3 linked regions of the Coturnix japonica genome follow. Each later gene encodes a partner of the first gene's protein in a complex. Links are inferred from orthologs where the notes say so. Each region holds a gene or a part of one and is shown in the gene's direction. Other genes may lie near its edges.

Region 1 (9,465 bases):
GAAAGCCCTGTATGCACAACTAAAAGCACTAGTTATTTAGCTTGCTGTGTACATTATACAGTGCAGTTGCTAATGCTTTTGGTGGTCTGCAAGAGACAATATGAACAGTGTCAGAAATATGCTTACATAAAGACATAATACAGGTAAAGTAATAGCAAACTTGTATTTGCTGTATGTAATATTTTGTCCAAAATAAAGTCAGGAAACTTCCTCTATCTCAGGTAATAACATCTACATAGCATAGAAGAAAAACCACAGTTGAAGGAAGGTGCACTGATAACACTGATGGGAGAAAAGAGGTCCTTTAAGGAAGACTTTAATTTCTCCTTCACATCAGGAACTGTGACAGTCACAGAGTGGTAGTCTCTGAGCAACACACCTTTGTGATCACTTGCTCGTGTTTAGCTGTGATCAGTGGTCCGGAAACACAGAACAAAGCATCTCATTTACATAGGCTCATTTCTTTTCCACTACATGCAAATTTTCCTGTCTTGGCAGGAGACCAGTTAACAGGGCAGGAAAGTGCAGTCTTTTCCTCAGAGCCACCCCGGGGAGATGTTCCATCACTGCATGTGGGTGTGACAGCTTCAGATGCCACCACCAGTGTCACAGTTTTATCTGTTGCTGCTTAACTGTAGAGGTGAAAAAAATGGGCTTGTTGCAAGTTTGTGGTGTTTTATGAAAAAACAGCCAGTAAAAATTTGAGTAAACTCAGTTCATTTATTAAATCAGAGTCATCAAATGATATCTTCACTTGTAGCCTCATAAGCAAGAACCCCATTTAATAACACTGAATTTAAAACCACTATATCTTACATTACCTGTGCTCTTTCCAGCTGTCTGCTTCCACTTAGCTTAGAACTTGCTTACCAGTTTCCTTTGAGGATTTTCCTCTCCAAACTAGTAACATTAGACTATTTAATGCATGAGATAAGAAATATGAAGGCCACGGAACACAGCATACATTCGCAATCCAATGTCCAGTGTAACTTAATATGAAAAACTGAAAATTATGGTCTAGAAGTGGAAATTAAAACTCTTTAAAATAGCTTCCTCATTTCTTTTCAGTGGGGTATAAACTTTACAGATATTTAAATTGATGTTGCCATGTTAAGAACTGTCCCTTCACTGAGAAACAATGCAGATATGAATTTCCCATTAGCCAATAAATTTTTCTCTGGACAGATAAAACAACTTTTTACATACCTGGGGGCCAGACCAGAAGTCCACTTGGCTCTGAAATCCAAGAATGGGCTATATTTTTCTGGAGAATAGCATTTTGAACAAGCTTTAATGCATTACCAGCTGTAGGACCTTTTGTTCAGTTATGGAAAGTGCAGTCATGGAAGTTTTCCTTGTTAGACTTTTGAAATTTGCTTACAGGTTTATTCTTAAAACATGGAAGAAAAACAGTATGTCAGAAAAAAACCACAAAGCTTTGAAAGATCAAAAAACAAAACAAAAAAAACCCCTCACCTAAAAATAACAAATTATTATAGAAATGAACTTTCTCTTTTTTAGAAAAGAAATGACTTAATGGAAAAATAACAATGATAATAATAATTGAAATTTTGAGTTTAGACTAATAATTAGTCTAAAAATCTAGGTTGTTTTTGAGGAATGATGCTCAGCTTAATGAGAAAAATCAAAAGGAGAATCCTTAGGAGATACCAGTGAAGGTTTGCCTCCTTGCCCAGTTCTGCAATGATGAGCTGAGCTGCCTTGTTTTTTGCTGGGGCAGAGGGGCTGCTGGCAACAGCTGGGTCTGTCTCCATTAGGAAACAGAGCACTCCCATTCAGGTACTAGGACAGTGACTGCCATTTCCCAGCTGACAAATATTTGCCTGTGTACTGAGCTACTGGAAGACTGAGAAATACAGAATGATACCAAAGCAAACTACCTGTCATGGCACATGGTGTCATTGGCATCTTAGAAAATCTTAGATTTTATCCCATCCTTTCACTGGCTTTTTGAGTTTAAACTATCCCATCTGGCAAGAGCTTGTTGGTTAAGCACAAATTAGTGCAGCTCATCAGAATATGCAGATTACCAGGGAAGGAGAAAGAGGGAGTATCACCCAGTTTGGAACATGCCAAGAATATGCAATTGCTCAGACACTGCTTTTTGTCTATGAACTGCTCCAGGACAGGGAACAGACACAGTGCAAAATTAGGAAAGGACTGAAATACCCACTATAGGCCCCTAAATTGAGTAAATGCTAACCTCCTCCTCTTCATCACCTTCCTGAAAGAGAAATACGCTAGCACAGCTGGATGAAAATCAAAGCAAAATCCTGACTCTCTAGGCAATGCTAAATTCATTTGCATTTGCTTGCCTTAGAGGAGCGAGGGCTGGCTAAATCCTGGCTAGAGACTTACTGTTTCTGCTCCTGTGCCTTTCCAGATGTGCTCCTGCCAGGGGCTGTTTATCTCAGCACTGTGTGTGGCACCAGGGATGTCACCTGGGAACTTTGCCTGCTGATGCTGGCCAAGCTGCTGGCGTTCAGCGTGTATGCCACACACGAGCAGATCAGGAATGGTGAGAGCCAATCCTCATTTTGTCTCATTTTGACCCAAATAGGGTTCATGCCATTCTCCCTTTTGGATGTGGAGTTTCCCTTTCTAGTTCTACCAGCTTGAAGTATGAGTCCTGGGGACAATCAAGAAACTTGAAAAAGGAGTCACTGAAGTTGCTTAGCAGAAAGAAAAATAATTCAAAAACTAATCTCTTAACCTTCATATATTTCAACTCTTGTCCCTATATAAATTTCACATTGGTTTCTTATGTCACATATGAATTGAAGTTATTGCTGACTGACTTGCCAGATTATCTAAGCTGTGAGTGTCCAGCTACATAAATAGGTCAGTCAGCATATTTGTTGCTCATAAATCTGCACATACTTCTGTAATTTTCCCCCAAGCTCTCTAAAAGTACAGTTGGAAGGACAACTCTGCATTTAAGAAGTTAATACATTAAGGTAGGTGAGAGAATACTGAGGTCAGTTATTTGGTTTTCATCGATGTAATTGACTCACTCCAGCTGCTCTGCAGCCTACTTGTACTCTGACTCCCTTGTTGGGATACAGAATCACAGTATCATAGAATCCTTAGAGTTGGAAGGGGTTTCTAAAGGTCATTTGCATATGTACACAAGGCTTCATTTGGCTGGTGAGCTATCATAAAATTGTTAAATTGTTTCAATTTGTATGTCCAAATTAAACCTAAAAGACAAAAATCCTTCTCTTGTTTAGAATTTGGCCCTATACTCCTGCATGTTGATGGCAAGAATACAATAAAAATAGTAAAGATCTCCTTTTCCTTCTTCAGATGAAAATCCAGTACTTCAGAATTTGTTTTTGAATGTTCTTTAATCTTGCAAGCACAGCAGACATTTTCCTATGTGTGATTAGTCATATGCCACACGTTTTAGAACTTGCCCATTTGTTATAATTGACCAAATTTGGCTTATGGAAATGTAATTAACATTATACCTCAAATAAAAATCAGATTAATCTCTGGAGAGGGAAGGTGGAGAATAAGTCATCCAGAGAAATCCTTAAATTAGGAGAAAAACTATCCGAAGTCTTTCAGCTTACTGTGGTGAGCAGTAACCAGGGAGGAAGTGATGCCAAATAACAAAATTTTCATGACATCTTAATGCATCTATAGGGAAAATTTCAGTTAATACATAGAATAAGGTTATCAAGTCAGATCAACTCATGAATGTATAGTTTTTTGCCCATGCTTAGATCCAAAATTCCTACTTTATGCAATATCACAGTTCATTCCAGAGATGCCAGAATGGTTCATCTCAAAATTCCATGGAATTACAACGCCCAGAGAATTGGCTGTTGCAGATGAGAAGACAAAATTAATTCACAGTTTTTATCCCCCCAGTGTGCATGTGTTGCCTTCCAGTGTGTTACTGAGGGAACTGTTCTAATAACTAATAGAAACCACCAGAGAGAATTCATTTTTAGACAGTTCCATACCCCATGGAACTCCTACATAGTTATAAAAAGTAGCCAAGCATGTAGGCCTGCAAAATTAAGCACAAAAATCTCCATGAGAAGTATAGATCAGCATTTGCTGAATATTTTCTTAGATTATGTCCAAGACTGACAACCCTGCATCACCTCTAAAATCACTTAATAAATTTGGGCATACCGTCTTAAATTGTAGTAGTCCACTGCCATGTAGCTGTGGAAGCTTTTTGGTTATCTAAAAAGTGTTTAGCTTAGTGGTGTGAACAGCTTACTTACCACATCATGGGAGAACATAATTCAAGGCTAAACTAGTGCCAAAATGCTGAATTTAATGTAGGTAGAAATTCATAGAGTTACAGCTAGATAAAGGGAGAAGACTATGCCTAGAAGGAGATATGCTGTCTTTCTAAGAAGCAAGCGCTATTACTGTCAGGCAATATGGTGAACTTGAGAGATGAGGAATCTAATTCAACATTACAGACCATTATTTCCCTTCAAGATTACACTGTAGGGGGAAAATCCACCTTCATCTGTATGACATTTATTTCAGAGCACGAAGAGTAAAATGGCTATTCTTTTTGTCAAGACCCATTCTGGAATATTGCATGTAAGCAAATGTTCAAAACCAGCTTGCAAACAGACATTCCACAGAGTTACAGTACAACAGATTACTTAACAGATCATTGATAAGGCAGAATAAGTTTATTTACCATTTACTGCAGAAGTCCTCTCTTCACAGTTACATTTCTTACTGAGTCTCTTTGAAGTCAGTTTGATATTAAAATGAACAATGCAATAGATGTAAATATTAAATATCCTTTAAATGACAAGTTGGATAGAACCTTTTACTTTTTTATTTTTATGAACCATTTATGGTATGTTATCAGGGTATCCCTGTGGTGTATTGAGAAGTGCTGTAAGCTTGCTGTGCCAGCTCTGCCTCTGCTGAATTGGTGCCACAGCAGGATGGCCTGAGGAGAGCTAACTGACATCTTGTGTGGTTTTGTGGCTTTTGTCTGGCTCAGCTAAAGCTCAAGTCTGCCTGAAATATGCCATCACAACATATCCACACTATCCTACCTGCACTGTACATCTAACTCTTGGGGGACACAACTTCTGAAAAAAACTGAAACAGCATTCCTGCAACAGGAGAACTGATGAGGAAAAATACAATGTGAAAATCCAAACACCTTCTATGCAGTGTTAGGTAGTTCTATGTAACATACCTGACCAATACTCCTCATAAATATTATATGCAGTCTCAGCAAGTCTATTGCAAATTTCATGGAAAAGCTGCTTTCCTGCCTGTATGCCATCTGCCTCTTACTTTCTTACTTGAACTGTAAAGTAGCTTTCTGCAATCTGATGGAGCTACTAGAGTGTGCACATTGCAGTAGCACGAGGCACCCTCACTTCTGGTGGCCACCTTCAAGTAGTTCTGGGAGAGACCAACAGCAAAACCCTCAGCAGTAGTTTCTTAACAGCCAAACCCCATCTCATTCAAAACTGGCCTTTGAATTTGCTGGATTACGCTCTGAAACAGAATGGCTGGCTGGCAGTGCAGGTGTGCAAGTGTCAGGGCTTCCTGTGGTTTAAGATTTGACAGACTCCAGTTGGTGCCCCTAGATATTTGACAGTGATGTGGCAACACTGAGTGGTTGCTGATGAACAGGTTTGCAGTGATCATGCCTCTGTTTTCTGTTTTTGTTTTTTGTTTTTATCTTTTCCTCAGGGGAAATCGCTCACATCAAAGAGGTTAACCAGTCTAGTGCAGTCCTACTAAAAGGATCACCTTGTAGCATGGAAGCAGACTCAAATCATTATACATACTTTGTAGCTCACTGATTGCCTGAATCAGAGGACAGTAGAACAAGATGTTGCATGAGCAAGGACCTGACTTGTTTTCTTTTGTGTATACTAAGGCATTACAGACTCCGAGGGACTCTCTAGCCTTTCGATGCCTCCATTTCGAAAACTGTCTGCTCACTTCCTCCTTCATATCAAGCTGGATCTGTGTCTTTTTATTTTCTGCAAGCTCAAGTACAGTGAAAAAAAAGCTTCTGCTAGGCACAGTTTATTTAAAAAAAAAATACGTCAATCAAAAACTGGAAGATATGTAAAAAATGCATATATTAATAAATATACATATGGCATCACATTTATTGCACAATAAATTAGCACAGAAGGTTTCATTTCACTGATGTATTCACATTGAGAAAGAAAGCCTGTGTCTTTGTCTGTTGTCTGTATATTCTCTGTTAATGTTTCTTGCATTTATTTTTATACCATATTTAAAAAAGAACACCTTTTACTCCAGATGTATTAAAGTTGATCCTTCCTCTGTAAATTTGTGTATGTTTATATTGTTGTTTTATCTTTCATTAAAATATGCAGAGTCTCTTTCCTTTGGGAAGTTTGAGATTTTAATACTAAATCGGAAGATTAGTCAAGAGCAAAGCCATTCCCAAAAGTTACATACCTTGTGCTTTCTAAAAAGTGACATGAAATGGCATTTTCTTTCTCTGAGTGACACCTAACCAAACACACTTTATTGACAATCATTTACTCTTCATTTTCTTTTTAGCAAGCTAGCAGCAGTGAGACCTTTCCAGCTTGCTCATCATCACATAAGCAAACTTTTCTTTAAGCTAGCTGTAATGGTGCAGTCTACACAGTCTGCTCAGCGATTCAGTTGCTGTCCAAGAGCAGATCAACTGAACTGCATTTTCTTAGGAATGGACATGATCAAGTCTGGCTGAGAACATGAGTATGCTTTTGCTAAATATGTCACCATTTCTTTCTCCTTGCCGTCATGCGTGCCGCAGTGCAACATTTTAAGCTGAAACGGTGGTTTGGAAGTGCTGAGACTAGAGCTCAAACCTGGGGTTGAAAATGAAGAAACATGCAATTTTAATTCAGGAGCTCAGTTCACATGTGCTGTTGTATTTGTGTCTAATACTGATATTCACCTGAGAGACCTACTCATAGTTTCACAGGAGCTTGTAGGCATTGTCCATGAGACAATGGATATAGAGCCTTCTGATGCTAAATGGAGCTAAAGCCATAATATCCCTGCTTGCAGAAGAGAAGCTGCACTTTCACCGAATATCTGATTTAGAGACAGTGGCAGAATCTCTGAGTAGAAAAGCAGTGGCATGAACTAAGGCAAATGACAAATAGCTCCAGGACATTAGATGGTGTGTAGGACAAATGTACTGAAAGATCCTTTTTAGCCTTGCACAGGACTGGCTCAGGACAGCCAGAGCTGGTACCATCTGCTGTACTCACTTTTGTGTGATATTGATAAACAGAGATCTTGTTGCAGAGGGACTACTAAACCTAAAAATGTCATAATTCTCCCCACCTCCCCCATTCCTGACACAAAGCAAGCTGGCTGTAGACACAATCCAGCAGTACATTAGAATAGATTAGTGCTGGATTCATCTCAGTCAGCACCAGATGCCTACCTGCGTTACTGCCGCTGGGACAGGGCTGCTGAGGGCAGAAGGGAGCTGAGCTGCTGTAACCCTGACTGCAGCATCCCCAGAGAAACGGTATGAATAAACCCAAGAACAAACAGATTGTTCATCACCTTGAATGGCTACCCCCCTGCTATTTACTTGGTTGAGATCTGGGAGAAGGGAATTGTGTTGTTGTTTTTGTTGTTGTTGTTCTTTGTTTTCACATGCTGCAGTGTTTCTGGTTTCTAACTAGGATAATAATCACTGCATTAAAGTGTTGCAGTTTCTGTCAGCACAATGCTTCCGAGCTGAGTTTTATCACAGAACACTGGTAATGCCCATGAGAGCTTGATTTTATCAAGAGCTCCATCTAGGTCAAGTCAAAATATTCAGTCTAGGGAGGCTAGATGAATTCTAATAAATAGTCACACTGAACCCCAGATCTTAAACTCTGAGATTTAATTTTCCTTTACTGCAGAAATGAGAGCTCTGAGGCATGAACTTGGGGCCAGGATATCCACAGAAATTTGAGCTCTGCTTCACTTCTCAGTGCCAAATAGAGATATTTATTTCCCAACTCCTGCTGCCACCGATTGCATCAGCTGGTATACTGCCTGCTTTTCCTTAGGATTTAACTAATTAGATACCAGTGTCTGCTTTGAAGAATCATTCCCATCGAATAACTAACACTTCAGATTCTTGCATTGAATATTTCATACAACTTTACCCTAAGGAAATTATGGTGGTTATTTCTTCTCAAAGCCTTTTGCAACATTGTCTGGACAATAAAAATACGCAGATTATTTATATCCCTAGGCCCATTTTATTCTAGTTCTTCTTTTGCCTCAGTAGATATGAAGCTTATACTGAATAGCAGTCTTTTCCTATATTTGCACAGAAATTAACACAATGGCTATAAGGTTAAAGTATACATTTAAAGGATTTTAAAGTAGCCAGGTAGCTCTATTGATGTTTCATTTGAGCCTGTGTTTCAAGTGATGCAACTCTACTGTTATCTGTGAGTGAATTTGGCTGAAAAAGAAAATCAAACAAAACCTTCTCTGCAGCAAGTTGATTTTTAAAGCCTTTATTTGAGATCTCTTCGTCCCTCCACTGTCATCTGTCAGTGCTGCCACAGTGGGAATGGAAACTCCTGGTAGGCATGATATATTTTTACATCCCCACTGAGAAAAGACAGTTGTTTTTTTTCCCAAACATTATGAAAATCCGCTTCTGTAAATTAAGATTAACCAAGGGCAAGGCTTATTTGTTCTTACTGTGGCAACCACCAAGCAGACGAAGTATAGCTTTGGTTTCACAGTGGTGTATCCATTAGGAAGTCCAGTGAGGTCTTAATTCTGCTGAGGAAAAATAAGGACCAAGGGAGAAACCCAAAGGGAAGAGGCTGTCCTTATGGGGAGAGTCATCAGTCAGCACCTCCTGAGGTGGCTGGGACCATCCTGATTTTCTTTAAAGGGACTGCTTGACCTGAGAACAGCAGAACAGATGTCAGACCTTGTGTAAGTTGCCATTAAAAGCTTCTCACCGAACCTATGAGATCAAAAAGGGAAGGAAAAGGCCTTAAAGAGGGAAGGGAGAAGGAGCAAAATGCTGAGCTGAAAAAGCCATGGAGACTGGCCAAAAATTAATGAGCTGAAAGTGAGGACAAAAGAAAGAAATGAAAATTAATTGCGGTGACCAGAACGGAACTGATGAGGGAGGAGAACTCATGCACAGAGCAGTTGGGTGCTGGAGAGGCAGCATGCCGCTGGTGAGACGCCAGCACCAGGCAGGGCTGCCAGCAGAAACCATCCAACAGCACCAGCTGCGGCTGCTCCTTCAGACATTTTTCTTCTGAAAGAAAGCTCTTAATACCAAATATATGGAATCGCTTTGTTCAAACTGCACCCTTAATGTTATTTGAAATTGTAAGGCATAAATGCCAGGTAGTCCTCCAACAAATAACAAATAGGAGAGCAAAAAAGAGCTCCAGAAAATAAGAACTACAGGAATGCATT
Region 2 (9,465 bases), on another chromosome or scaffold:
ACCTTAATGGTCTTTCAAACCTTAATGAATCTGTGATTCCTGCCAGCACTGTGCCCGATTTGACATCAGTATTTCTGCAAATTTGTGATTTACCATTAGTAGCCAAAGTATCCTAATGAAATACATATTGCTAATAGCCTTTTCTGTTTCAAGAGTGTTTTGACTTATAGCTAAGATTAATAATAGCTTTCATGATCATATGTAGTTTCTAATTACTAGTGTGAATGGGCTGCAACTCCTTACTATCACTGCTTACACTGGTGCTATAGCTGAACAAAATCAGAATTAAGAGCATTAATAACATTAAAAAGCAGCGTGGAGTTTTTAGCAAAGCTAAAAAATCATCAGTTACTCACCTGTGACAAATATTTTCCCGATGCCTGCCTTTGCTGCAAGCTGAATCAGATCAGCTATTGCTTTGTCTGACTCAGGATTTAAGCAATTCACCATCATTATAGTAAGTACGTCATTGCTGGGAAACACATTCTCAAATTTGAATTTTATTAAAAGAAAGATCTACAGTGATGCACTTGGGAGAGAGGATAAGAGTTATGGGAGCCTACCAAGTTACCCTGAAATGCAGGATATGGATTGACCGGCTCTATCATTTCCTTTTGAAATAAAATGCATTTGAAGACAAGAAGCTTGTGAGTAGCATTGTTAGACCAGAGGCAAACTGCTGACTCCCAGGTGTGTACACAAGGCCAGGGATGCTGCAGACTTCTGAGGAGGCTACAAACACATCTCAGAATGAAATCTTGCTCATGGTGGGTAAATGAAGAGAGCAAATATAGTGGTTAAATCCTTTTCAATGAAAAAAAAACACCTGTTACTGACTCCAGTGAACAAAATTTTACTCTATCTGTCTTCTCTTGTTCCTTTCCCCATGTGACTGCGCCTGACAGTGCAGTAAGCAGTGGGAAAGGAGCCCCCACGCTCTGGCAGCACTCCTACCCACTCCAGCTGTAGTCATGGGCCAGCACAAACCAACCCTTACTTTTACAAGATCTTCCAGAAATTGCACCCGTGCTGCCCTATGCCACTGCAGGGAGTGATTTGATTTGTCATGCTTCTGTTAAACTTTATCTGTCATGGCTTTACTTTACTCTCACTCCAGTCTTTGAACAAGGAGTTGACTTTAGGCGAGGCAGTCATCCTTATCATGTATGCATGCAGAAATACAGATTCTGAAAGCTGCTCTTGTGCTTTGAAAAATTTGAAATATTCAAAGTCAAGGCTGGCCGCGTTTTTAGTGTGTGGTGTTTTTTTTCTCTTCCCCTAATACTCTGCAGAGCCTTAGGAGGACTAAGATCTCCGTAATGCTTAATAACTTGTAAATCAGTTTCAAAAAGAGGGAGGTTTTTTACAAGTATTTCCCCCCCTTTTGGCCATATGATATTCTTCCCTGCCTTGTTGCTGCAATTTCTATAAAAAGAAACCAACACAGCAACAACAAAACAAAACACAACAAATAACCTGTAAATAGCTCTATTTACATTCAACGTTTGTAGTCTCTGAGTACAGTGTAAAACTGTTACTGCTTTCTGGAGGGATCCAGGCTCGCTTTTTCTCCTCCTCTCCTTTCAACAGATTGATCTTCTGATGCCTTTTATGCCTTTCATGGGATTATATGGACTGCCTGACATAGATTTTGACCAGCAGTTCTTAAGTTGTACACTGCAGCTGCCAAGGACTGGAAGCAAGAATAATATCTTACATCAAAGAAGACAGCAGTTTTTGAAATACTCTGCTCATTTTCAAGTTCTGTACTGGTTAGGAACGATAAAACAGAAAAGTTATGAACTGCTGTTAATATGAGTATAGGATGTATGTGAAAGAATCATCGGTAAAAAGTGTTCATTTTAATACAGAGCAGATTTATGAGCCTGTGACACCTCTTTAGTGAAGATTTTGTGCAGTGAGAATGTATTGTGGCTGTGGTCCTGGTGTGCTGTGGTGTTTGCAGGGCTCAGCCGAAGCTCGCTCTTTTCTTTGTTGGCTTCAGAATGAAACTGTGTTATCTACAGCAGCGTGTACCTTCATGTTATAAAGGAAGAAGCCAGAAAGCACGAACAGAATTTTCCCCTGAAATACATTTCCTGAAGCACAATGACTGAAAGGTGCTGGAGATGACAGAATTCACTCATTCTTTCTCCTTCTTTAGCTTCTTCTTTTGTGCTTGGCTAAAAGAGGCTTTGTTGTCATTGGATTTACGCATTTTGATTTCTCCAATTCTCCACCTTGTCAGCAGTCTCCTTTCTGCAGAAGATGAAGTGAGAAGAAAAATGATTTGGGCCTTCTCTTTGCTTTTTTCCCTGCTTTCATGTTTACACAGGCTGAATGAATTTTTGGTGTTTATTCTTGCTGGTTTCCTGCTTGCTTGTTTCCCAGTAGCACCTGCCAATCTGCACTGATGTACCGTGTTTGGCACTGTGAATGTGGAAAGAGACGGCTCTGCCCACTTGAGGGCAAGAAAAGCCAGGTGGCTTTCTCAGTGCTGGGCAGGATTATGTCACAAAACTGAAATTCAAGATAAATACTTGAGTTTTCCTTAAGTACTCTCTTGGTTTGCCTTTGATTTTTGAAACTCAGATCTTCTTTTTATTAAGCCCTGCCTTCTGCACCTTCCTCCCAGCCACAGGCAGGCAGAGATTTAAACACCCTGAAGTCAAAGTCAGGTGCAAGCAAGTGAAATTGGGGGCAGAATTGAGAGGGCAGAAGGTCCTTTTCTTATATCATTCAGTTTTTCCTTGAGGAAATATGACTGTGTACTTCATATTTACAGCAGTAAATTGGTACCTGTGTGTTTGTACCTATACTGATGGGACGGGTATCTAGCGCGGTAGCCTACTTTTATCTGGTAAAATGATGTATGCATTACTGGGGAGAAATCATTTTACCAGCATTTATGATTTCATTACTGCCAAACCCTTTTCACTGTGCTGGTCACAGCCTATTTCTTGTACAGTATTGGTCTGACAGTAGATGTTCTGACATTGTCATAAATTTGCTGTTCGTCTTCATGTTGGAAATAGCAAAAATGAATCTGAGTTAAAGCAAAACTTGTCTCATATGTTACTTCCTTGAAAAGGGGCAATGGAACTCAGAAGTATGTGGCTCCCGCTCATTACCTTTTTGCTGTCATTGACCTTGATCAGGTTTAGGCCACAGTCATTTTGTTTAACCAGTTGCTGTCTTTGTTTTGACTTTGTAAATCTCAACCAATTTATGGTTGCCAGTCAGGGGGTCTGCCCTGATCCCAGCCTTTCTTGCTGCCTGCAGAAGGTGGGCCACAGACATCCACGCTGTTCCATGCTGTGTGAGCCCCAGCCCTCTGAGCCCCCTCTGTTCTGCTGGTGAGGGTTTGGAGGCCAGAACAGATGTAGCTTAGTGTGCTTGGAGCTGTGCTCTGCAGGCACTACCTGAGATAGATGTGTCCCCTGGCTCAGCACATGTTTGAGGTGGGATTTGGGGCTGGGACTTAGTTATAGGCCTGTTCTCAACTGTACTGTGGATGTAGCCTGCTAACTGTGTCCCGCTTCACATGGACAGAAGTCTGTCTGGCACTTATTTGAATTGTCATGGGAAAGGTTGTTTTATAACTGTGCTGTTTCCTAGTAATTAACTGCAAGGAAAAAAAGCAGAGTGATATATGGCTGTGGGAAAAGTCACGGAGAAGATACTGTTAAGACTGGCAGGGGCACTTCTTCGAAGTCTGCACACTGTATCTTGTAATGTTTTTCTTATGCTTGAATGTACATTGAGTATATCATTGTATGATCATTTGCATTACTTTTCTTTTTTCTTTTCTCACAGTGCTTGCCAATTAAAGGTCTTGGATTTGTGCTTGGAGCCTACAAATGTATTTGCAAGGAGGGATTCTATCATCCCAACATCTTTTCAGTGAACAGCTTTCAGAGTAAGTGCCTTTGCTTGAGTTAGGGGGGAAAAAAGCATAGAGAGCATTAATAATGCAGGGCTCCTTTTTATCCTAGTCAGGGTTATACAGTGAAATCCCAGTGGTTTGCAACTCTCAGATTATATAATCACTTAAGGAGTTCTAGCTCTTTGGTTTGTCATTTGTGATACTCTTGAGGATCCTGTAAAACATACCCACTTTAAGAATATTTGATTCATAAATAAATTTAAAAATATGAAAAGAAGTCTTGCTATAAGGAAGTAAAGATTCCTGGCATCTATATTCAAGCAAAAGTATTGAGAAATTTAATTTACCAGTTTCTTCCTTCCTTAGGGCAAACTGGAATGCTCTGGCCTCTGGTTTTGTAAGTGCTTTAATTGTTTTAATTTTACTTCATGTTCAGAGGAGAATCTAAAGGAGCACATTCAAGCTCTAATTCTTACAAATGGGGAATTAGAGATGGGTCAGCTCTGAGAGTCTGCCTGGTGGTACAGCATGGAAGACATGCAGCCTATGCTTTCTGGAAAGCACAGTGTTTGGTACTTGGATTGCGTTAAGGGAAGTAAGGAAACAGAACATGTAAAGAAGCCGTCTCCAAAGGTGCTGTCTATTACTTTCACTGTATGAAAGTATGACCACCAAGATATAATCACTGTGCTAAAATTGTTGCAGTTATACTAATACAGTATACACTGCAGTCACAAGTGTAAAAGTATTGCTTGAAGGTGTAATGGGGCATTCTGCTTTGCCTCCTACTTTGCTAGTGAATCCCTTCCCCAGAATCTTTGCTTTTGCTTTCTTATTTAAAAAGTGTTGGTGATTTTAGGTGAAAGATGTATAGCTTTTTAACATCAGGAAAGCTTTTGAATTTCATGTTTATTTGCAGTCATGAGTCCCATAAATGTATTCATTCTGTGTCAGAGGATGACCCATTTTAATTGATCTGATCTGGTCTGAGAATAAACTGACTAAGATATCTCACCCCTAATAGTCTATATTAGATTTCCTGTAAATATATATTGCATAAGTAGCACATTGTTTAGTCAGAAATTTACTCGGTGAGCATTTGTTTCCCTTTTCGTATTGTGGAATGTTGTAGAAGTCACCCTTATGATAGTGTTCTTTTTTTCTCTGAGCTGTATGAATCTTTTAGTAGTGTAAGAATGATGCTTGGTTGCTCCTGTGGTGCAGTGAGTTATGATGGAACTGGGATTTAACTCTTTGAATGAGCATATTAAAAAAAATCGTTCTTAGATTTTTATCATACCAAACGCAAAAAAAATGCAGAAAAATTATGACTAGAGATGATAACAGCACTGATCATAAGGGATGGGATTCTTATGATCTTATATCAGCTGTCTAAAGTGCAGATGCATGACATGTATTAGTCATCTTGGTTTCCACTGTAGTCAGTAGGGAGAGCATGGCTCCCCTGGAGAGTAGCCTTGCTGCTTTGGAAACTCGTCTTTAGATGGAGGAATTAACTCTTCATGCAAATAACCCCTTTTCTCTGTGTGCGAAAGAAGGAGGAGCCAACATGGCAAACTTAGGTCAGAAATTTTGCTTTTAAATAACTTACACTTAAATTTTCTCACTGAAGTGTTTGCATATGCTGACATTTAAGGTCTCAGAGTTAGATGATCTGGGACTTCTTTGATTTGTCCATGTGTTGCTGTGAGTTAACGTGAGCGTGAGGTTAGGAAAAGTCATTAACAAAGAACTGCTTTTAATTGTACCAGATGCAGCTCTGGTTGCCACACTGTATAGATGATTTCAGAATGTGAGCAGTAAGACTGATAGTGGAAGTAACTGTGGAGTAATGACAGAAAAAACTGGTTCAAGGGAACTTAGCCCTGTCATCCAACTGCATTCTGTAAGAATTAAAAATGGTTAAAATTTCTAAACTGTATATTTGGAGATTCAAACTGATACCAATGCAGGGATTCTAGACATGAATACTACAAGTAATTTTGACAGAAACTGTCTGACCTGACAATCTTTGTGTGGAATTAGGTTGGTGAGGCCTGATAAGAGAGATGTAACTGAGTGGAAATGTTAATGGTTTAAGAAATATTCCTGGAAGATTAGAATCAAGAGGCAAGTAAGTTTTGCAGGTCTCAAGATAAGATGTAAATAGGTAAGTGGGTAGGAAAACTGATCACTTTTGTACTTCCATGAATTGAAAAATTGAATTCAGTGCATTGTATCTTGAAATGGAAGCATTTCTCAGTAATGTTGGGATTCTGCAACAAAATATGTTTAACAGCAGTTGCGCATTGTGTCTGAAGTGACAGAGTTTTAAGTTCTAATCAAGGTTCTCTTTAGGTCCAGATGAGTGTTTGGGCTGAGTCTGAAAGGCAGCGGTACAAAATGGCTTTGCAGGGATGTTTGACAGGCTATGCAGTTTGCTCAGCAGGCAGGCTTCAAAGATTGCTCGTCTGCCTTCTCAGCAAACTCAGCTGGAGACCTGAACACTGAGATGCAATGTTGCATAAACATTGTCCTCAGTAGGAAAGATTCTGCTTTTCTAACTTAAAGAATACAGTTTTGCTGCTCCCCAGGAGGTTGCACATTTCATGCTGCAGGCTCCAGAACTGTGTGTGGCTCAGGGGTTGAAATTTGTACCATTCTTTAACTGATGAGGAAGTCAGGTAGGAGAGCTGTTTTCCTTCCAAAGCTGAGTTTGGACTTCAGAACTGGTAGTGCCAAAATATGTAGAACCTCTCTCTTTTCTGCTGAACTGGTTAATGAGGACCCTTAGTACTAACAAGGCACAGAGTTACTGATGTATTTCGTGTGTCTTTTTTTATCAGCTTTCAAGGTTGCACTTTTAAGAAATATAGAACATAAAGTTTATGACCATAACGGATTTTCAAGCCATATTCATGTAGGGTTTGTGACTCAATCTCATCAGAAACTGATTTTAGAAAAAGATATGTGAAAAATCATACAAGTTGCATTAACCTGTAATTGCTTGAGTACAAGATTATGCACTTTCTCCTAATGGCTCACTTTGAGGAAGCAGTATTAGTATTAGTAGAATAGATTAATTTATGAATACATACATTTTAACATTTTCATAGCAGTCATCTCCAAGCACTTAGTTCTCTGCCTCACAGGTTAATCACTTTTGCATTGGAATATCCTTAGTAGAACTTTGGTGCTTTATTCAACCTAAAATTGGATTCTTCAACAATAATTTATTGCAGAGATTCCCCTCAGCTCTTGCTTTTTGGATGTGGAATCTACTCAGAAAAAGGTGCTTGTACACCTCTCGTGTCTTAGTACGGGACTTAATTTGTCTAGCAGTGCTATGTCCCCAGTCCCAGGAGAGCTCTCCAGTTCAGCTTCTCCAAAGAGAAATCCAAAGTCTTCATAAAAATAAATGCCAGCCTGTTCTCACTGCAGGATTTGTGAGAGAAGCCTTTCTCTAAAAGCAAGGAGGACATGGCTGCTGGAACAGCACACCAAACAAGCAGACTGGGGTATATGACTGCTCTGTGCCCTTCTGAAGCTTTGCCTGCCAGAAGATGTGTGTTCCTGCACATTCATACATACATTTGAGAAAAAAAAGAAGCAATTACCCATGTATATAACTTTCAGTTTCAAATGTTTTAAGTGAAAAGCCTGAAGAGAGTTTGAAACGCCAATGTGCATATGTGAAACATCACTGAAATACTCTGTCTCTTGAATTAAGACTAGATAACGTGGGATTTACTAACATCACTGCTGGAGAAGGAGAGTTTTGATCAAAAATGTTGGGTCAATTCTCTAGTCTTGTGAAAAACAAGAGGGGCTATCATGGTTTTTAAAACACCATTTATTTGCCTTCAGCCATATTCTCTGGTTCTCTAAGCCACAGTCTTTGAAGCTCCAAAACTTGTTGTGTTTTTGTTATGAATTTTCAGCAATTTCTGCTTGCTTTCTTATTTAACATTATTTTGCTTTTCTTCTCTTTCCTTCACCCATTTCTTCTATCAGTTTCATGCAGTGTAAGCAGTCATGTAGGGTTTTACAGGCAAGTTCTTACAGATCAGTAAGAGCAGGATTGCTCCTGTATGCTCTGTTGGCTGGTGTGCTTTGATGGGTCAGATGTCAGCTCAGGAACAATTGATTTTCACAGACAAGATATTAAATTGCCAGTTGGATTTCGAGGTTTTCTAGTGTGTTTCAGTGAACTGTAGAAAATTGCACATTTATACGTTTATGTAGTGTAAATGTGCTGGTTTTGATCTGGGCACGGAATAGTGCAATCTTATATCAGTTTGCTGAATAAATGTTATTTAAGAGGAGTTTTGTCTGATTTGGAGCTACTCATTTCACTAGAGAGTGTCTTTATGAAATTCAGAAACAGTCTCAAATAGGATCGAAGCTTGTGCTGTAAACATTAGGTAGTTAAAGCATCTGTTTTTCATGTGCCTGTGTAAATTTGTGTCTTTGTTCCTAAATCCCTGGTGTAATTTTCTCCCATTCAGAAGTATCCTTCAAAGAATGTCCTCTGCAAATTTTGTCCATCTTAAATACAGTGGGGATGCATTTAATAAACCCACTTTCCCCCATGTCTGAATTGATCTGTGTTTTCTGAAGGTGACAAAGGAGGTGAAATGACAAAAGCAGCCCTGGCAAACTACTTTGTTTATTTAATGAAAGAGGAGAACAGGGAGGCGAGGGAATAAGCAGAGAACTGTTTTGCTTCTGTATGAATAAGATGCCTGTACTGTACAATTAAAGTTGCCTTCCCTTCCCCACCTCATATTTTCAGGAAAGGATGCAGATAATCGCTTTTCTGGAGGGGCCTTGTCAGAGGAAGTCTACACCTGCCTGCCCTGCAGGGAAGGATGTTCTAATTGTAAAGATGATACTCCCTGCTATGCACAGGAGGACAAGTATTTACGGCTTGCTATCATCTCATTCCAAACACTCTGTATGCTGCTGGACTTCATAAGCATGCTGGTAGTCTACCATTTTCGCAAGGCAAAGGTAAGCAGCCTTGTTTTACTTTAATCTTCCTGCTCACCGTGTAGTACAGGCTCATTTGTGTTAGGTGTACAGCTTCTCATTTGGAGGACAGTCACCTTCTTGGGTAAGGATTACCACTGTATTTCAGAAGATGAGATTTCCAAACAGGAATGCTTTGCAAGGAGGAACCTAAATTGTTTATGTAATGTTTGAAAAAATGCTGAGCAGTTGTCTCCCAGTGACATCTCCTTACAGTTATAGATGGTCAGTAAAAATCAAGGGAACTTACTGTGTTAGAAGTCATTTTGGTAAGTCAGACCAATTATGCAAGTACCAAGGAGGTACATGGGATTTGTAGTCTCTGGATGCTGAAAGTGTCTGGCTGTTTTACCACTGCTGGGAAGGATGTCTGGTTTCAATATATTTGTGACACTAGCTGCATGGTAATTGCATAGGAGAGAAATCTCTTTAAATAATTCTAGTTCCATGGGAGTTTAAACTTGATTCAGTAGTTATTTATTTTTTCCTAAAGTATCTATGTATTAAGGAGAGTCCGTAAACTGTTGATACAAAAGTTATGTAGTATC
Region 3 (9,998 bases), on another chromosome or scaffold:
TGGACAGAAGCAAGCATTGCTAGGCCTGAAGGTTGGCCACTTCTAATTCAAGTCGACACCTCTGCAAACACTTGATGTTATTCCATAAGCCTGAAACAGATGTGACCCTGGGTTCAAGGATATGTTTTTTGATTCTTGATTGGAAAGTGGCCATGAGATTCTTTTCCCTAGGGCACTGCATTCCTTAGCTATGCACGTGTTATGTGCCTGTCCAAACAGGGCTCTGAGGTATATGTGTGTGAGTCTGCTTAGCCTATGATCTTGACTGTCTCCCTTAAACAACACATTAAAAAGACAAAACTTTTGCAACAAGCTGACTCAGCAAAGACTGGCAGATTGGGGTCAGTCGAACTGTTGCAGCTCTCCTCAGACACAGAACTGGAGTGCTCTGTGCATGGCCCACTCCAGGCTGAAACCTTGTTGTCTGGCATGCTACCTGCAGTACTCGGGTGTGGAGTCTGAGGGAGTTGTAGGTAGCTGCAATGAGGATACAGCGAGGAAAGGCTGCATAGCAGGGGTGGCTCTTCTGTGTGTGTACCACCACAGAAGGTCCTGCCAGAAAACCTGTATGAAGAAGGAATGATGATGGAGACTTCTTAATCTTCAGCAGTTAGTGGTGAGGTGATAACCCACTCTCCTGGTAGGAAACACCGTCCCAATGTGGTCACAGTTGTTTTTGTTTTAGTTTTTTGTAGTTAGATACAAAGCTCAGGTACTTACATGGCGACTGAAGAGCTTATTTCCAAAACTGCTTTTGCAAACTTAGGGATTTCATTGTCCTGATTATACTCCAACTTGGAGTAACTATTTCATCCTCCTGAACAATAGTGTAGCAGCATTTATAGATACCTTTCCCCTCTCCTTCCCCAGAACTGGTTGTGACCATAACTGAACAGCTTTCAATACAGAGTGTTATATTTGAGCATCAGGTGAAGTGATCTCTGTAGGAATGCTAGAAGTATTAACTAGCTGTGACTGGAAAATACAGTAAAAGGGGCAGATGAGAGCACTGATGTGGTGACTGCAGATGTGTGCAGTACAGTCATTTGTCACGTTGTCAAGAAAGAAATTCAGATGTAGTGACTGCAAGACAAAAGATGGTTTCTTCTCTGTTTATTCTCTTCTAATGCCTTTGAAGCTGCTGCTTTGCTCAGGTCTTTCTTGGCCAGCAGCCTATAAATAGTGATTTATCTGGTACATTTTTGCATGACTTGGTTAGTGCACACTGTCATAGCAGGAAACTGGCTGGTTGCTATGTACAGTTACTGTAACTTTCTCCTTATCATTTGCAATGTGGAAGTTAGACTGTTACCACCAGAAACAGCTGCTAAGTGGAAACAGACTGAGACTTCAGGAGGAATTGCCTCCATCCCTAACAGCCTGTTAGGCACTGTATTAGCACTGCAGTACGATCCCAGCCTTTCTTGTAGATCTGGATTTAGCTTTCTTCTACATATTTATTTTATATATATAAAAAACCCCCACAAAAACCAAAAAACAAACACAGCTCTTTGCACCAATAGTGAAATACATACAGCTTGGAAGCAGCATCCTTTTTTCAGACTGGTTTTTCAGAGCTGTGGGTGTCCTTTGGTGTATGTCACAGTGCACAGTGTGTCCTTGCCAGGCAGGTGTTTGTGCATGGGTGTGCATAATGTGTTGTGCAACTGGACAGACCTTTTGTAGCTTCTCATTTGCACTGCTGGTGGTCAGTACAAAGTGACAGCAAAAAAGAAATTAAATACCAGCCATTACTGCATCATTAATGGAAAATGACATTACAAAGCCCAGTTGCTGCTTTTCCACGCTGTCCACATGCCATACCTTCCATACAGGATGTTTTCACAGCATTTTGGCCTGTGCTGATGTGTTCTGAAACTCGCCTGAAATCAGAACACAAACTAGGAGGACCTATATTTTATCTACTGCTGCAGACTGAGCTGCTATGTCAGATTAAATGTGGTCAGCTCTAATATTGTGGTAAGAAGTTGTATACAACTAAAAAAAAAAAGGTATATCACCTTCAGTACGGTTAGATTTTATGAAAAGGGTGGAATGAAAATATTTGATTGCTTCTTAAATGGTAACATTTTTTCTTTGGAAGTTGATACGGTAGAATGTTATCCATTAAAATGACCCAAACCTGCTTTATTTGAAACTCCCAAATGGCCTTACTCTAATTTGTTTGGATTATTTTGCGTGGTTAGCTAATGATAGTGTTACCTAACTTAGGTGCACAAAATATATTCCATGTGTCACACACTTCTACAGCTCTGCTCTGGAGACACTTCCCTGTTGGAGCACAGGACCAGATCTAGGCCTGAAATCCACCTCCATGGTGACAGTGGGAAGCTCAGCAGCTCTGCCTGTGTGTCCCAGTTGGGCAGTGGCACCGCTGCTAAGCCAGTGTGGGAAAGGACTCATTTTCTCCAGTACAGTGTCCAGGATGTGCCCTGAGTCCAAACAACAGCTGCAAACCCTTACTTTATTATCTCCCTTTCCAATCTTGGAACTTCTCCAGGTTGAACAATAGCTGTTGGATTGTCTGTGTTCTGGTGAAAGGGAGACAATGGGAGTCAGAATGAGCAAAGTTACTCCATGTAGATTAAGGACAATTGCTGAAAAAAGAGGACGTTTTCAAGGAATTCCCAGGGAACAGAGAGTTGCAAGGCAGTTTGGCACAGTCCTTTCTCTGGAAATGTTATAGTTACTTTGAGTCCAGAGTACATGCTTCCCATAGACCTGTGAGCAGAGGCTGCTGGGGTGTGGAGCTGTGCCCCATGCTCACAATAAGACCAGGCTGGGGGCTTCTTTGTCCCTTTCTGGACTTTTGGAAACTGGTCCCTTTTGAGGGCTGGGAAAGCCACTCTCCAGGCCCTTCTCAGCTTTATTACCCTTCTCTGGACACACTCCAGAGCCTCGATGTCTTTCTTGCAGAGAGGGGCCAAAACCAGACATATCACTGGAGTTGTGGCCTCACCAGTGCCAGTGTACAGGGACAGTCACTATCTCTGGCACAAGCCAGGATGCCATTGGTCTTTTTGGCCACCTGGGCACACTGCTGGTCCATGTTCCAGCACAGTCTGCTAATCCTTCTCCACTGTGCAGCTTTCATCCAGTTTGCCCCAAACCTGCAGCAGAGCATGGGGTTGCTATGACCAACATGCAGGACCTGCTCTTGCTGCAGTGCACGCAGTTCGCCTCAGCCCGGCGGTCCGGGTCCCTCTGTAGGGGCTTCTCCACATTAATGCCGCTGGATACAGTCAAAGGCTTTGCTGAAGTCTAGGAAGATGACATCCTTCCCTCAACAGAGCGTGCAAAGTTGCGGTACAGATTCATTCTGGCACACAGCATCACCCCGCTGCCATGTATTGCTGAGCTGTGGCAGCGGGCAGGGCTGGGTGCACCTGCAGCAGGGGACCGCCGTGCTGCGGGGCGGCAGCGTGCGGGGGTGGGGGGGTGGGGGGGCCCGGCCGCGGAGCGTTGCTGAGGCAGCAGGAGCCTCCGAGCATCCCTGAGAGCCGGGCAACAAACTCCTCCTCCCTCCCTCTCATCTGTCTTTCGCCGCTTCCTTTGCAAAGATGGCAACCGAGGGTCTGCACGAGAACGAGACGTTGGCTTCGCTGAAGAACGAGGCGGAGAGCCTAAAGGGGAAGCTGGAGGAGGAGCGGGCCAAGCTGCACGACGTGGAGCGTGAGCGGGGCCGGGCTGCGGGGCGGAGGGGAGAGCGGCCTGGCCGGGTCGGGCAGCAACGGGCGGAAGGGAGCGGGCAGGGCCGGGAGGGGAAGAGGAGCGGCCGGACCGTGCTCGGGGATGCGGCCGGGGGGCGCCGTGACGGACGGCTCCGTGCCCGCAGGGGGCGGCGGGGGAGGCCCCGGGGTTCCGCAGCGCCGGGCCCGGAGCTCCGCTCCCGGCGTTACAACGCGCATCTCAGGGACGGGAACAAAGATTGAAGGCGGCCCCTTCAATTTTTGTTTCCTAAAGAGCTGCTGAATAGCAGCTGTGGGAGGGTTAAAAGGGACTCATGTTTTATTTTTTTTTGGTCTGCAGTAAATAGGGGATTTTCTGGTCTGAATTTGACGGTCATAATTTACGCCCTATCAATAGGAGTCATTAAGCAAAGGGAGATGGCCTCATTACAGAAACATTACCATAAATCGTCACATCCATACAGCACCACTGCCGTATCAGTAGCAGTGGGGCCTCTCTTTGACAGACCCCTTTGGCATACGCTTAAATCCACCTTTGCTCAGGAAAGCAGTTTCACCCACGGTTGGAGTGATGCTGTAAAGGACATGACGTTGCAGTTGTAGGATATTTACCTCTTTTCTCACACGTAAAATCTGTAACTTACGTTGGCCGTGTCATGGTTTCCATGTCCTTATGCTCATGTAGGGCAGTGCTTCCTCCCAGTCAATTCTATATCAGAGTGTTTATTTTGTGTTCCAGTTATCCCCAAGAGCGATTTCTGCAGAGGTTATAAATAACAAAATAAGGCATCTCTCTCTCTCTCTTTTTAATCTAAAAATGTATCTTTTGCATTTTTTCCCTCTGTTCATGACCCTCCCTCTGTGGCTCCCAAAACAAACATCTGGCTGAACTGGTACTGCCCTTATTTGTTCAGTGGGTTTGGAACAGCAGCTCTCAGAAACATGGACAGAAAGGGGAAATACCAAACGTGCATTTGAGCCACAGTGTTACAGATTCAGGGATTCGGTTCTCTCACTTAAAATGTGGGGTATAAATAAAACAGCTTGTCCTGTTCACGTGAGCCATAACTTTTTAAGGCCAGAGATACCATTAGGACTTCCAGCACAGAAAAGATCAAAGACCCGGTGGTATCTGCATCAAATCCCCACTTCCTGTTGGGCCAAACCATATGCTCTATAAAAATAGCATGTTTTATCTGGACCTTTGTAAAACCACTCAGGCTAATTACTGGCTGCAGCTGATCTGTTTGTCTGAGTGCATAATTTTCAACTATCCTGAAACAATGTCAGGGAACGCTTCAAAATGATTATCTGACTCTGAAACCTGTGCTAGGCGGGTACAGCTTTATTATGGCTGTGGCTGGAGATAAGCGTCCTCACTGAACGTAAAAGCCAAACCAGACAATTCCACAGAGTCTCAGTTGTGTTGACATAATGGAAAGACTTTGCTATTGTCTGTGAAATGTTTGTTTTTTCAGATATGTTCTGGACTCAAGCGTCTTTCCAGCTGCCATAATAACCTCCTGTCCCGTGCATTCGTGTCTTCTGATTGGATTACTGAGCAGGTGTCAGTGGGCAAATATAGGGGGAAAATGTACCTTTTCTTGAGTAAGCCTATAGGATACTAATCAGAAACTTGTTTCTGACCTCTCATTGGAAATAGTGGGGTCAGATGGTTGAGGATGGTGGGCAGCACTTGGCCCCAGGCTGGGAGAGGCTGAGCAAGCAGAGATTTCAGGCAGAGCATTGCTCTGGCACAGCCCATAGGGCTGATGGTTTTGAAAGACTTGAAAATCTAAACTGCTTGAAATCAGCCCCTGCCTTAGGCAGAAATTTCTCCCCTGACCCTGTGCCAGGGATTGATCTCAAAGTGAAGGACACCTGCAGGTGCTCTAGAAAAGTGACAGAGTAAAGCAGCAACGTTGCTCTAGAGCACTCACCCATCCCACACAGCGTGGACCTCAGCCTCTAGCAAGGCTCTGAAAAGCTTAACATTTCATCTGCCAGCTCATTGAAGTGTGTGAGCTTCTGCATTTATTTCTAAAGATTCGAGTCAGGTATTGTGCCCTTAGCTAGCAGCAGCTGTGTTGTCTTATATTTCATTATGGACAAACATGACATGAGGTAGCACTGGATCCCATTATCATAGAATGGCCTACATTGGAAAGGACATTAATGCCCATCCAGTTACAACTCTCCTGCTGTGCTGCCACCCACCAAATCAGGCTGCCCAGTGTCTACCCAGCCTGGCCTCATGCACCTCCAGAGATGGGGCACCCACAGCTCTAAGCAGGACTAACATCTAACCTAAATCTCCCCTCTTTTAGTTTTAAGTCATTCCCCCTTTTCCTGTCACTATCTTCCCCTGTAATAATCTCTCTCCTGCTGGCAGGCTCCCTTCAAGCAGAGGAAAGCTGCAATGAGGTCTCCCTGTAGCCTTCTCCAAGCCCAACACCCTCAGAGTTTCTTCACAGGAGAGGTGTTCTGGCCCTCTGATCTCCTTCATTTCCCTGCTCAGTTGGAGCTGTGTCTTGGCCCTTGGGCATCAAGTGGGGATGGCATGACAAGAAGTCTCTGGTAGCTGTATCACACTGAGTCTCACATGCAGAACAAATGTTTTACAGTGAAAACTTCTGAGATTTGATGCTTATCCCCTTCTTTGTATGATTTGTTCCTCCAAGACACAGCAGTGATCTTCGGTTCTGTTGAGCACCTCAGGGTGTGGGTGAGGCTGGGGATGCTCTTTCAAGCCACAGCCAGCCTGAGGGTTTTCCTCAGACAGTGAGAGGGAGGAAAGGGGGTGAGTAATTGATTTTCCAGTTATGCTTGGGAATGATAGCGTGCAAGTGCTTCAGCTGCTACAGTCCTGGAATTCAATCTGTGACTGAGTGCATCCATATCTTTTTTTGGTAGATATATTCATACACCTCCCACCTTGGTTTTATCACCTGCCAGTTCTAAGGCAGACCTTTTGGCTTGCATATAGGCTCGTGTTTCTTGGATTAATTCCTCCAAGTGACATTACTCACACATGCAGAGTCTTTCTGTGGCACAATTTCAATGCAAGGTTCCCTAACCATCAGCTGTTTGCAGTTCATCAGGTGGCAGAGCGTGTGGAGGCATTAGGCCAGTTTGTGATGAAGACCAGGAGGACCCTGAAGGGCCATGGAAACAAAGTTCTCTGTATGGACTGGTGCAAAGACAAAAGAAGAATTGTGAGCTCTTCCCAGGTATGCCACTGGGCGGGTGTTCTTCAAAGACAACGTTGGGAATTATACTGATCTTTTAGCTGTACTATGTGCTGCCCTTTTCAAATGATACCTTTGCACAATGTACATGTTTTCAGTATGCCTTTAAAGCTGTATATTGCAGCGTATTTGTTCAGAGAGCACAAATCTGAGCATAACTACATACTAATACCCGAAATGTCACTTCTGCAGTCATTTTTTTCCCTACTGCTAAAAAAAATAGAAAGAATTCATCTGAGGCAAATTCATAATTTTATTGCCTTGGTCTTTACAGACTTAATGTTCAGTAATGATTTCACTTGATGTGTTAACAAAAACCAATCAGGAAAAGGGAAGGAAAGCGATATTAATTCTTCCAGAGATTCCTGTGTGCAAACGTTTCTTCCACAATCTTGTATGCCCTTAAAAGCCTCAAACAATCTGCCAAAGCTACTGCATTTACTTGGGCATTTTGAGAAACTGTCCTACCACCTGCTCAAGACCAGTTTCATGAGCTGTAGGAGGTAATAAGATAATTACTTTCTAGATCCCCTGGTTCATCATGCGCCCAGTATGGCAGTGAGTGAGCTCGCTGCATCACACAGCTGTTCATTGACCTATATGAAATCTGTCAGGGGTCTCACCAGAGGGATAAAAATAGGCAATCTGCATTGCAAGCCACCTTCAGTTACTGTGAGTTTTTTACCATTCATGGTGATTTTAGCAAAGAGAATCAAAGTTTAAATAATTAATGTGACGGGTTTGGTTGTTTTGTTTTTTTTTAGTAGTTAAAATGCCACTGTGTAAATCAGAAAGCTAAACAGTAAAGTTGTAATGCGTTTTGTCTCCATTTCTAAGAACTGACACGAGTCCAGATATAGCAACAATTCCTACTTACCAATAAACATTTCAGTTTCACGAAGCTGGAAGGACAACCAATATGATGCACTTAAGGCAAAGTTACTGGCTTGATTGTTGCTGGCATACATAAAGTGTATGTTATTCTCAGTGGAGTGTTGTTACAATTGCTATTTAGCTGATTGTAACAGTGGATAATTGAAGTAAGTGTAGCAAGAAGTAAAGAGGAAAATAGAAAAAGACAGGAAAGGAAGATGAATAAACACTGCAGTATCCATAAATGATTCTGTGCATGTTCCCTGTTGGGAAAATGACTTGAAATACAGGTCACCTCTTGTATTTGTAAGGCCTTGGACTGAGCCACCAACAGGTTTTACATGGGAGAAGTGTCTGGTTTTGCAGATGGTGATTGCAGGCTGGGGGAAACACGTTGTGGCTGAAAGGAGGCAGGTGAGCACTCGCTAGCAATGACTTCTTGAGGTGGTTCTGTTCTGACTTTGTTGAGCAGACAAAACAAGTTCTCATAAACATGCTTGAGAAAACCCTTTTAAAAAGAGATCAGTCTTTAATCTGATATCAGTAATCTCAGAAGGAAATACAGTTTTCTTTTTGTAAAAGAAATAACCAGCACCAGTGAGAATCATCTCCTTGGTGCTTCACTGCAACTGTTGTAATGTTGTTAAGATGGAGACAAAAATGAAGTATCAGACTGGGGGATATCAATGAGCAGCAGAATTTCCTCCAAATTTGGAATGTGAGCTGACAGTTGTACCTCTCTGTTTGTGTGTTTTCATTTAGGATGGGAAGGTGATTGTGTGGGATTCGTTCACTACCAATAAGGTAGGTGAAAGTCAGCAAAGGTCCAATTTCTGTGCAGAGGGCAAACAGCGGTGGGATACAGTGGAGGTCTGAAGGGCAAACAGGTGGCACAGGTGACAGCAGTGTGATAGAATAGCCTGCAAGCCTCCACCAGCACCTCAGAGCAAGGAGCCCACACAAATCATCTCCCTTCACTTGCCTCTGAGCAAAGTCCCCACAAGGGCATTGTTATTTGTTATGGTCTGCAGCATGTACCAATCCAATCCTGTCACTGATGGGATGCCCCTGGGCTGGAGGAAAAGCCAGGCTAGTTAAATGGAAAACTTCCCTGGGTAACAGCTATGCAAGGTGCCATGTGTGATCACCAGGGATTCTTAGCCATGGTGTTTACTGTGATATGACAATACTGGTTCTCTAAGCTCTGTCAGGACTCTCCTTTCTTCAGACAGCTGTGAAAATACAGCTTGTTTCTAACTCACCCACATATGTACCACACTGACATTTTCAACACCAAGTGGCAATAAAACATGCTCTGTGTTTGGGGCTTATGAATAAGGTGACAATAGTCAGGTACGGAGTAGCTGTCCTACTACTGTTTTGCTGGGTTAGGGAAGTAGTGATTTCTAAGTTTTAAAGTGAGATACTGTGTTTCAGGAACACGCTGTGACAATGCCATGTACCTGGGTGATGGCATGTGCATATGCCCCGTCTGGATGTGCCATTGCTTGTGGGTAAGTTTCCAGTTTCCCCAGCTGCTTGTGCAGAGAGACTTGATTTGCAGGGATCTCCTGATGCCTTCACAAGATGCCGACAGTTAGAAGCTTGCGTGCCTTGATTGTGGATGGGAGGATTATATTCAGTGCCTCTGTTTCTAGTCCCATAATGGCTCATCCATTTTGTCTCCACTGACTTCAGTGCAATAACATCTGTTGTATAAGCATGGTAAATAATCCTCTTTCAGCATTTATATCATGTGTTAGGAATTCTGCATGCATGCAAGTTCTCTGTTCCAATTTGATTGTGTGCATTGGATATATCTTCTAAGGCAGAGTGGTTTTAACCCTATTCTTCCTTTGCTTTCTTTCTTCTAAGAGGTAGAGAGAAAGGTTGTCCGATAAGGATTATCAGCACATGAATAGATCTTGTGGAGATGAAGTGGGGGGAAGGGACCCTGTCCTTGATAATTATCTTCAACTTTTCTGAGGGCTCAGGTTTGGAAAAATCAAGTTTTTGCAGGAGAGAAAACAAAGAGAGAAGAAGTTGGCAAAAGATCTTTTAAAAAGGGACTGGGTGGATCAGACAGACAAAGTAAGCTTGGGGCGAGAAAGAAACAAAGGGAGACTTTACTGTGCTGCTCACAAATGTGGAAAAAATACTCCATAAG

The links.
Region 2: the proteins of RGS7 (region 1) and GPR158 are in contact, whole or in part, in a cryo-EM structure (PDB 7SHF), measured with the Homo sapiens proteins. The link is inferred for Coturnix japonica from reciprocal best matches to the Homo sapiens genes RGS7 and GPR158. Residues at the interface, in NP_001351815.1 of Homo sapiens: Gln35, Ile43, Ser55, Arg109, Phe110, Thr112, Pro113, Tyr114, Phe115, Lys134, Thr136, Lys140, Ala141, Arg142, Leu143, Leu145, Ala146, Asp147, Ala150, Leu153, Gln157, Trp164, Phe168, Met169, Gln170, Glu172, Ala173, Gln174, Lys176, Val177; in NP_065803.2 of Homo sapiens: Leu507, Lys508, Phe510, Leu511, Arg513, Thr514, Tyr595, Tyr598, Ala599, Thr602, Val603, Pro604, Ile714, Arg715, Leu718, Lys719, Tyr722, Leu725, Glu726, Tyr728, Lys729, Arg730, Met733, Ile734, Thr735, Asn736, Asn737.
Region 3: the proteins of RGS7 (region 1) and GNB5 are in contact, whole or in part, in a cryo-EM structure (PDB 7EWP), measured with the Homo sapiens proteins. The link is inferred for Coturnix japonica from reciprocal best matches to the Homo sapiens genes RGS7 and GNB5. Residues at the interface, in NP_001351815.1 of Homo sapiens: Pro19, Leu22, Val23, Lys26, Val30, Ile72, Val76, Glu77, His80, Leu81, Leu84, His88, Val207, Asp213, Ile214, Lys215, Lys216, Leu258, Gln261, Ile262, Trp265, Gln266, Gln268, Leu269, Arg271, His272, Arg273, Leu274, Lys275, Met276; in NP_057278.2 of Homo sapiens: Leu57, Glu60, Ala61, Glu62, Leu64, Lys65, Leu68, Glu71, Lys74, Leu75, His76, Asp77, Val78, Glu79, Leu80, Val83, Leu90, Phe93, Arg98, Arg99, Leu109, Lys117, Arg118, Ser134, Phe135, Trp149, Met151, Leu167, Tyr197, Ser206.

What each region holds. Positions count from the first base shown.
Region 1 is NC_029518.1:32,481,137-32,490,601, forward strand, and holds the end of RGS7 (regulator of G-protein signaling 7), read left to right. Parts: exon of another isoform or gene 1-5,718; coding exon of another isoform or gene 5,719-5,769; exon of another isoform or gene 5,770-5,908; coding exon 5,909-6,106; 3' UTR 6,107-6,391; downstream 6,392-9,465. UniProt on the Homo sapiens protein: GTPase activator component of the RGS7-GNB5 complex that regulates G protein-coupled receptor signaling cascades.
Region 2 is NC_029517.1:15,018,110-15,027,574, reverse strand, and holds part of GPR158 (probable G-protein coupled receptor 158), read left to right. Parts: intron 1-3,816; coding exon 3,817-3,919; intron 3,920-8,681; coding exon 8,682-8,899; intron 8,900-9,465. UniProt on the Homo sapiens protein: Metabotropic receptor for glycine that controls synapse formation and function in the brain. Acts as an atypical G-protein coupled receptor that recruits and regulates the RGS7-GNB5 complex instead of activating G proteins.
Region 3 is NC_029525.1:7,756,458-7,766,455, forward strand, and holds the start of GNB5 (guanine nucleotide-binding protein subunit beta-5), read left to right. Parts: upstream 1-3,462; 5' UTR 3,463-3,581; coding exon 3,582-3,693; intron 3,694-6,803; coding exon 6,804-6,940; intron 6,941-8,593; coding exon 8,594-8,635; intron 8,636-9,268; coding exon 9,269-9,345; intron 9,346-9,998. UniProt on the Homo sapiens protein: Enhances GTPase-activating protein (GAP) activity of regulator of G protein signaling (RGS) proteins, such as RGS7 and RGS9, hence involved in the termination of the signaling initiated by the G protein coupled receptors (GPCRs) by accelerating the GTP hydrolysis on the G-alpha subunits, thereby promoting their inactivation.